Regions from separate parts of the Mus musculus genome. Here region 2 is reported to be linked to region 1. The links are microRNA targets in miRTarBase. Many come from high-throughput screens and were not tested one by one. Region 1 holds a microRNA gene; the other region holds the end of a gene's coding sequence.

Region 1 (4,284 bases):
CCCCTCCCCTGAAGCCAACTGGGAGTGGAGATCTCTGACTAAGGAGAGATTCTGAGGTTGCATTCACCCTTAAGAGCTTGTTACATGATCACATCCTTGTCTTTAGCACTTAGTAAGCACAAGCATTTATGTGTGCTGGATGGTGTGTGTGTGTGTGTGTGTGTGTGTGTGTGTGTGTGTGTGCATATTGCAGAGTGGAACTGTGTACAGCCTCTGTGATTTTGACCTGACATGGAAGGTATATATCCCCAGATGCCACCCCTCCATCCCTAGGTAGGGCAACCTTCAGATCTGCTCTTCCAGGTCTCAGGTTGAGGGCCTGGCCTAGCCCTTCTCCTGCTTACTAAGGCATGGGAGCTGTGCTTCATCCCAGAACCCTGGGGACTTTTGGCCTCACAGGCTGAGTCCCACCTGGTTTCAGGGTCCCCAAAGGTCCACAGAGCAGGGCAGTGGCTGACAGCTGGTAGAAGAACAGAAGGAATTGTATTCTGATTCAAGGGTGCTTGGGGGAGTCAAGAGAAAAGGGAGTCAGAGATGGGAGGTGCACACGGAATGCCCCTCCCACCACTCCCCTACCTGGTACCCTCTGCTCCTACCACACTGCTTCCTCCTGCCCAGGGCACCTGCCTTTCACAGGGACTGCAGGTCCTGGGAAGCAACATGTTATTAAGCACCCAACCTCAAGAAAGGGCTGGGTTGGTGCCCAGACAGCTGGGAGCTGCAAGCCTAGGTCCTGCCACTTGATCTGCATCCATTGATTGATTCCCTTCCTTCTAGAGTAGGGAGGGCTAAGCAGAGATTATCCACCCGCAAGCAGGCTACAGGCACAACAAGGTACAGGGCCCAGCAGGGCCTTCTATTTGCTCTGCTCCGGGCCATGGTCTGCTGGGCTGAGGTGATATGCCACATCTCTCTCTTTGAGTGGTGGGGTTTAAGGGTTTTTCTGTTAGAGGAGGAATCATGGGGGGCACTGTAGAGGATGACCCATCTCTGACTTCAGCAGTGAGTGGGGAAACAGCTATGGGGATGGAGGCTGCAGGTATCAGGATGGGGCCATCCTGGGCTCAGCTGGGACAGAGGCACTCTGTGTGTGTAGGCCAAAGGTTTTAGGTGGAAATATTGAGGACCAGGCTGCACAACAGAGCACTGGCAAGAGAGAGGTGGGCACAGCCTTACTGGCCCCTCCCATGGTTTCTGCTCCTCTGACATCCTTCTCCATCTTAGTGGTCCCAATTGCCACCCCTCACCACATAGACAGAAGAACGAAGCTGAAACAGGAAGAAGTTAATTAAGGACACACACTCAGAAACAGAAACTCGCCCCACTCCACGGCAGGTTCTGGATAAATGGGACCCATGAGACTTTTGGCCAGCTACTATGAGCATACCCCATCCAATGGCCTCCCCTGCAGCCCCCTGGCTCTGCCTGGCCACCTCACCCAGCCAGCCCGGTGACCTGCGCTGTTCCAGTTGCCCCAGCACCGCCCCCGTCCCTCCCTCCCTCCTCGGACAAACACGGGAGTGAAGACACGGAGCCAGAGCCTGGGCACTGGCCTGAGGGCCCCGGGCAGGCTGGGTCAGGCTGCCCAGAAGCCCATGCATTGGCAGACCTGCTTGCTGAGGGTCAAAGATAGAGGAGCTGAGACCCAGCCCAACTGGAACCATAGGTGCTCAACATCAGAACAGCTAAGGCAGGCTCTGCAAAGCTCTCTACACTTCCAGGAAAGCACTGGAGTACATACCCATCGTAGGAACGTCTCTCCGTTCTACCCTACCAGCAGCTTCCTCCTTGCCAGCCCTGAAGGTGGGTGGGAGTGGAGCGGCAGTATTGTTCCCCACTGACCCCGCCCATCTCTCTCAGAGTTGGTTTCATTTTTCCAGATCTTTCCCTCCTGGGTTTTTGGGGGGCACTACCCTCCCCTGGCACTCACAGGTTTTATTTGGGGAAGGGGGTTGTTTGTTAATGGCAGGTTTTCCCCACTTTAGTCCCTTTTCTAAGCCTTGTCCCCAACCCCAAAGCCTCTCAAATTCCAAGACCCCTGCTTCTTGTGACACTTAGCATGGCACCCCATTGCAGCAAACCCATGGGCAGCAACTGCTCATTTACCTCCTCCCAAATCTGGCTGCTTGCACCCCACCCCCGGCCCCCCACTATTCTCCAGAGCAGACAGCAGCTTGTGGCTTCCTACCTTTCAGGGTCACACCCTCCTGCCACCTGCTGACAGCTCCAGCTCCTGCTCCTCCCTCACAGAGGCAGCATCCCTCTTGGTCATCATCCACAGTCACCCCAGGACTTTAGCAGAGTCCAGCATCCTGATGCTACCCACAGACATCTCTGACCTGACCTCCCCTGACACTTCAGGGACCCAATGCCTTGAAACCCTCCACCTTCTGAAGATAATGCAGAGTCATGCTACCCCGCCTCTGGTCCATTCTTCTAGAAGCTTCCTGTGCTCACGGGGGAGATGCAGAGTGGAAAGCCCACTTCCCTCACGGCCCCTAAAACACTCCAGCTGGCACGGCTTGGGGGAGTGTAGGGGCATTCGGAGTATAATCTCTCAGCACCGCAGATAAGGGAGAGGCACAGGCTACACTCCCCTCCCCAGCTGCTGGCTCCTAGAGCAGGCCTTTCTGTTGACTGGTAGGTTAGAAGTAAACCAGCCCTCTGTGCTCCTGGGTTTTCCAGCCCCAGAGGCTGAGAGTCTCCAGGACGTGACAGCCTGGAGCAAATGGCCCAGCTTTCTGGGGGACTACTCACTGCCCAGGCTCCAGGGGCATTTTCCCATTGCTTGCTCCTGTTCCCCAACAAACCTGTCTAGTCCCCGGGGGTCACACCCGAAGGAAGACATTTCAACTCCATCTCTGAAATTGGAAAAGCATCAAGCACAATCCCCTCCCCGCCCCCACCTCACTCCCAATACTTTTCCACCCTCCTGGATGCCTTCATGATTCCCGAGCCCCTGCCTCCGGTTCACCCAAATGGCAACATCACCAAGAAGAACCTCCATCACGAACAGGGACCCCCTAACTGGGGGGCATCGGCTGCTGGCACTTCTATGGACTCGATGGGAGGGGTCATCTCCGGGCAGGCAAGGGCTCCTGCCAGCTGCCTCTCCAGCATCAGGCCAGGCCCTGGGCGAACAAAGCCTGGGCGACACCTGCAGCTCCGACCGACCGCTGCCTCCTCTGCAACGGGGATGGTTCTGTACAGCTGGAGCCGGTAAGATAAGCCGGAGCTGCAGATGCAGGCGCCTGCTCTGGCGCCGCAGTGAGGAGGGGGCGCTGGTGCAGTGGGCGCGGCTGGTGCGGAGAGCTGAGTGCTGCGGCAGGCAGAGGGGGGCATTTGGAGGGGGGCTGCGGAAAGCGGGAGATGGAGGGAGAGGAGAGAGGGCGATGTGATTGGCGGGGAAGGGGCTTGCCGCAGTGGGCGCGGCGGCAGAAAAAGGAGGGAGAAAAGCGAGCGCCATGGCTGTGGCGGCGGGGGCGGGGTGAAAGGGGGGATGGGTTCAGTAGAGGAAGGGGGACTTACTGCGGAAAGGGGGCTGCGGCAGCCTGAGGGGTGCAGGGGGAGGGATGGGGTAGAGAGGAATATCTAGGATGGTGCAGCACAACTTTAGGGAGATGGGGATGGGATGGAGGTGGGAGCTGAGAGACATGAGTGGACATCAGGGCTGATGACCAAGCTCTTGATGGGAAGGGGATGAGACAGAGATAGGCTGTAGTGGGGGTACAGCTGCGAGAGAATGGAACTGAAGATGAGAGGTGAATGCATGGAGGAGGGGGGATGCAGACAGGAATGGTGATAGAGATGGTGCCTAGCAGACGTAGCCTGGTAGCTTAGCGGACACCCTCCTGGCCTTAGAACCCCCTTCTCCATGGCCGCTCCAATAGTGTCCCCAGCTGTGGATGCACTCCGGATAGCAAGGGCGATTCCAGCGCCAGTGAAGTGGTCTGGCAATTGCAGAGCAGCAGAACTCAGCAGGAAAGGCCAAGATGAGGCTAGGGGTCTCGGCGTGGTGTGGTGGATCCCACAACCTAGGGCAGCAGGGCAGTGGCAGTCTCACTGATGCACAAGGCTGAAGGCAGCTTCCTGGGACGCACCTCCTCCCGCAACCTTCACTGGCACATTCAGCACCGCCCCCCCCCACCCCCCGTGTCCCTGGAAACAGTAGGCAGCTGCGGACCCCCCCCCCCCCCCACCGTGCTGGCATTTCAAAGGACTTGTGGATCAAATCTCTGCCTCTGGGCTAGCCCCAGCCCAGAGGTGGGGGGGGGGGTGTATCTG
Region 2 (4,118 bases), not on the chromosome of region 1:
GCGCATCCTGCCTCCATCCTCCGGTGCTGAGGTTACAGATGTGCACTGCTGTACCCTATTCACACAGTTCTGTGAACCCAACCAGGACTTCTGTGAATGGTAGGCAAGCACTCTACAAACTGAGCTACCGCCCAGACTTTGCTTAAGAAAGCAAATCTTTAAGGGAGGGAAAAGCAAGCTTCAGATGGTGGCTGACTGAAGCGCTGCTGTCACTCCCAATTCCCCTCCCTGAGGAATTCTGTCTTCCGTCTTCCCTCTTTGGGTCTTTTGTAGTCTCTGGAGGGACTGAGCTGGTCAGACACAGAGGACAAAGCCAGTCAGATAACTCAAGATTTGACCCATCCTTTCCCAGCCCCGGCTCCCACCTCTGCGTGGCCTGTTGTCAGGATCCACAGGTCCCCTCTCCCTCAGCAGACAGCAGAATCCCCAAAAGCTGTCTCGGACCCTCAGTATCTCTGTGAACCCCCCACTTTGCACTCTGCTAAGTCACATGGGCTAGACCCCCACTACAGCTTTGGAAGCCCCCCTTCTCAGGACCTCAGACCCCTGCTATTTATTGGGGGGCCAAGACTTACAGAGAAGTTGAATGACTCATGTATCTTTTCTTCTGTGGCCCCCATTTGCAGTTTGAGGGCCGGAAGTACTGTGAACATGACTTCCAAATGCTATTTGCTCCATGCTGCGGATTCTGTGGTAAGAGCTGGTGACAGCACTTAGCAAGCAGGACGGGGACAAGTGGGGTAACAGCCAGTACTGAAGTTCCTTAGCCTGGGGACTTTTCCTGGCTTCCTGAGCATTGTCTTCAGGCCCCTAAAAGAGGGGTACTTGGACAAGGGTGGACCCGGAAGAACACTGGTTACAAAGACCGTGGGAGCTGAAGGGTGGGGTGTGCGCCCTGACAGCTGAGGTCTCTCCTCTTGCAGGTGAATTTGTCATTGGCCGCGTGATCAAGGCCATGAACGCCAACTGGCATCCTGGCTGCTTCCGCTGTGAATTGTGTGATGTGGAGCTGGCTGACCTGGGCTTTGTGAAGAACGCAGGCAGGTGAGCCAGCTGCAGTCATGGGCAGAGAGGAGGACCCCTTGTCCCTACTCTAAGAGCTGTGGTCCTGCCCAGTAGGCTCTGTGGCATCTCAACTGATCTGGTTGTGGGCTTTGTCCTACCCCTGCTAGATGGAGAACACAGCCCCCAGGGGATGGATAAGGGTGGAGGCAGGAGAGTAAGGACAGACAGCTCCCTCTGGGCATAGGGTGGTCTTTGGGGGACAGAAGGCTTGAAGGGCTTTAAGTGGCAATGAATAGATGAGGAGTTTTAAGTTGGCGAATCCCAATTACTCATGACATCCCACCCACCACTGCTGCACCACGCTGACCCCATCTGTCTGCCTTCCTCCCAGCATTCACATGGCTGGACCAGGTTGCCCAATTTACTCCAAATTCAGGACTGTAAGCCTCACTGGTACTCTGCCAGTTCCCCTTCCAGAAGGCCTTACTCTTTCTTCTTACCCCTGCCTCCCTCACTGTGGGCTCTATACCTCCCCAGCAGCCGTGAGCTTATCTCCCTCCTGGGTGGGAAAGCTTTGGGGGGAGCACCCAGCAACGCCTTTGTGCCCCGAAGCCCTCCCCAGCACAGCTTCTCAACGACTCAGGTCAAGCCTGGGTATCACCAGGTCCTCCCCTTGACCTCCGAGTGCCCTCACAGCAGAGCCCTCCTCTTTCAGTGAGATTTCTGTGTTGTGCTAGCTTCCCTCAGCTTCTTCCTTGGCACAGAGATGTTCTTTGGGCCCCATATCCATGTCAGCCTTTGAGGATGAAGTCTTGGGCCTCTCAATGATACATCTGGACAATCCAGGTATCCCCTCCAGATCTCTCCTTTGCTCAAGTCTCCTACCAGTGTGGCATCTCTGTTTAAGATTCTAATGTAACAGGTCCCAAATCGAGCTGCAAATTTCTCCTCCTCTGACCCAAGTCTGCTTCTGAACCCCTGTGTCAGGAAAGGCAGTGCTAATTTCCAGAGACCCTCCAGTTTCCCAGGAGACTGTCCTTCCTGTCTGGGTCTTTGCCCCCTCTGTCCCTCCTGTCACAGACTGCGGTACTCTTGTCCCTTTGCTCTTCTGTCGAAGAGACACATGGTCCCGTGCTGGTCCTGGCTGGCACAGTCTTGTACTCCGCAGGTTGTTGTGGCCATGGGGGTGGACAGATCAGCACCAGATAGAAGCAGTGCTGAGCATCAGGGCCATCTTAGGGTTTCTCTGGTGAAAGGCAGGATGCAGCTGGAGGGATCCGTTTGAGAGCTCCCTTAACGCACATGCCTGGACAGACATGTCACAAGGCCACCAGAACCACAACCAGGAAGATGTTGCCCTACTTGGTCATTCTTGGGTGGAAAGGACGAGGATTTCAGGGGGAGAACATCATGTGTCATGTTGGACCAGCATGATAATTTCCTTCATCTTAAGACTCAGTTATGTTTAAGAGTATTGCTATCAAGTACATTAGAGCGGTCACCACATGCTGGCACATTCAACAGCTCAGAGCCAGGCAGCCAGGGTGGCAGAAGCCTCTTGGGAGGGAGTGGGGCTCAGGATGTCCCTTCTGGGCGCAGTTGGAGACAAGTTCTCGCATCAGGCTCTCTGCCTGGGCTCTAATGTCTGTCCGTCCATGCCATATGCCTGACTAGGCCACATTCTAATGACAAGCTCTGAACAGTGCCAGGCTTGAGGCTGGTGTGGGGACATGGCGTGCTGACTTCCAGAGACCCTCCAGCTTCTCACGAGACTAACCTTCCTGTCTGGGTCTTTGCCCCCTCTGTCAACAGGAGGAGCTGAGCCCAGAACTATATTCGCTGGGTTCACAAGCAACCAGTCTGAATTATACTCACATGTAGCTATCACTAGAGTCTGTGTCCCCTAAACTCAGGCAGAGATTATGAGGCAAAGGCATCTTAAGCAATATTCGATATACCATACACTTCAAAGGAAATATTAAATATCCATCTAGTTCCATTGACATTTGTGCTGCCTCTTCTCCCGGACCTTGGGCAGCTTGCTTTCTGGGTTATTCTGTAGGGCTTTGTTTCTGTGGGCATCTGTAGTATGAAAGAAGCTAGAAATTTATTAGAGAAGAAAGATTCCCATTGTTCCAGAAATGTCCCTGTGGCTCTCTTCCCTATTTAGCACGAGTGAAGTCACTGAGTGTCTGGGAGCTGTACAGAAGCCAGGCCAACCCAGTCCTGTGGAGGGGTGGGCAGGGCATCCCTGTGGTTAGTCCTGCCTCTTGATGGATTCGCTGAGACTGGATGGCCTTGCAGTTGAGGCCTTGAAGCAGGGTGAGAACTCCCGATGTTTCCGTTTGTTTGCTCAGGAATAGTGAAGGAAGATAGACTTCTTTAGCTGGCTCTGGTAGCATGTGCCCCAGTTGATAGCTGGTCTTCCTGCACCAGTCTACAGCTGGCCTGGTGTAGGACCTCCCAGAGGCTCACAGCTCGGATCGGGCACTCAGGGAGCTCTCGTTGGTTTTCCCTTCGAAGCTGGGAGGTGGACCTGTGAGCCGTTTGCTGCAGAGCAAGTTGCACAAGGCGTGGCGGAACTTCTCAGCCACAAAGAAGTACATGACAGGATCCAGGGCCCCGTTGAGGCTGGTGAGGCAGGAGGTGATCCGGTTCCCCAGGGCCAGGGCACGCTGAGCAGCGCACGAAGTCCCACCACCACGGTAGTGAAGCACATAGACTGAACGGTGGATGTGGTAGGGCACAAAACAAATCAGGAAGATGGCCAGAACCATAGCAATCATGCGGACGGCTTTATTCTTGAGGTGCTTCTCTATCCGGGGACCCTGGCGCAGGCTGCGAATGATCAGCAGGTAGCAGGTGACCGTGGTGATGAATGGGAAGGTAAAAGCCACAGCCAGGGATGCCAGGGCGTGATGGGAGGCCTTCTCCCGGTACAGTTGCAGGCAGACAACTGTGTGGTTGGTCTGCACTGTCTGTGGGCTGACTAGCAGTGGGGCCATAGCCACAGCCACCACGATCCACAGGAAGGCGCAGGCCAGGTGAGCATAGAGAGGTCTTCGAAGCTTGAGGGACTTGACAGGGTGCACAATGGCCAGGAACCGGTCAGC

What was found. Region 1 holds the annotated microRNA mmu-miR-149-5p (UCUGGCUCCGUGUCUUCACUCCC, at 1,517-1,539, opposite strand). A microRNA usually pairs through its seed, bases 2 to 8, with sites in the 3' UTR of a target mRNA and lowers its output. Matches are read on the target gene's strand: a 7mer-m8 pairs with bases 2 to 8, a 7mer-A1 pairs with bases 2 to 7 and ends in A, and an 8mer does both.
Region 2: the mRNA of Gpr17 is a reported target of mmu-miR-149-5p. Seed matches in the 3' UTR shown: 7mer-m8 at 3,392-3,398.

The regions. Positions count from the first base shown.
Region 1 is chr1:92,847,636-92,851,919 of GRCm38, reverse strand. Mir149 (microRNA 149) reads right to left here and starts at 1,542; the gene lies at 1,477-1,542. All of the region lies in intron 1 of Gpc1 (glypican 1), which reads right to left. Gm29480 (predicted gene 29480) reads left to right here and starts at 3,123. Exons shown (of 4, transcript NR_166170.1): 1 at 3,123-3,219.
Region 2 is chr18:31,943,513-31,947,630 of GRCm38, forward strand. Gpr17 (G protein-coupled receptor 17) reads right to left here. Exons shown (of 2, transcript NM_001025381.2): 2 at 1-4,118. The coding sequence ends at 3,477. It overlaps Lims2 (LIM and senescent cell antigen like domains 2), which reads left to right. Exons shown (of 10, transcript NM_144862.4): 3 at 627-693; 4 at 924-1,044. Among named protein-coding and RNA genes, the nearest start is that of Gpr17, 4.1 kb to the right of the region's middle.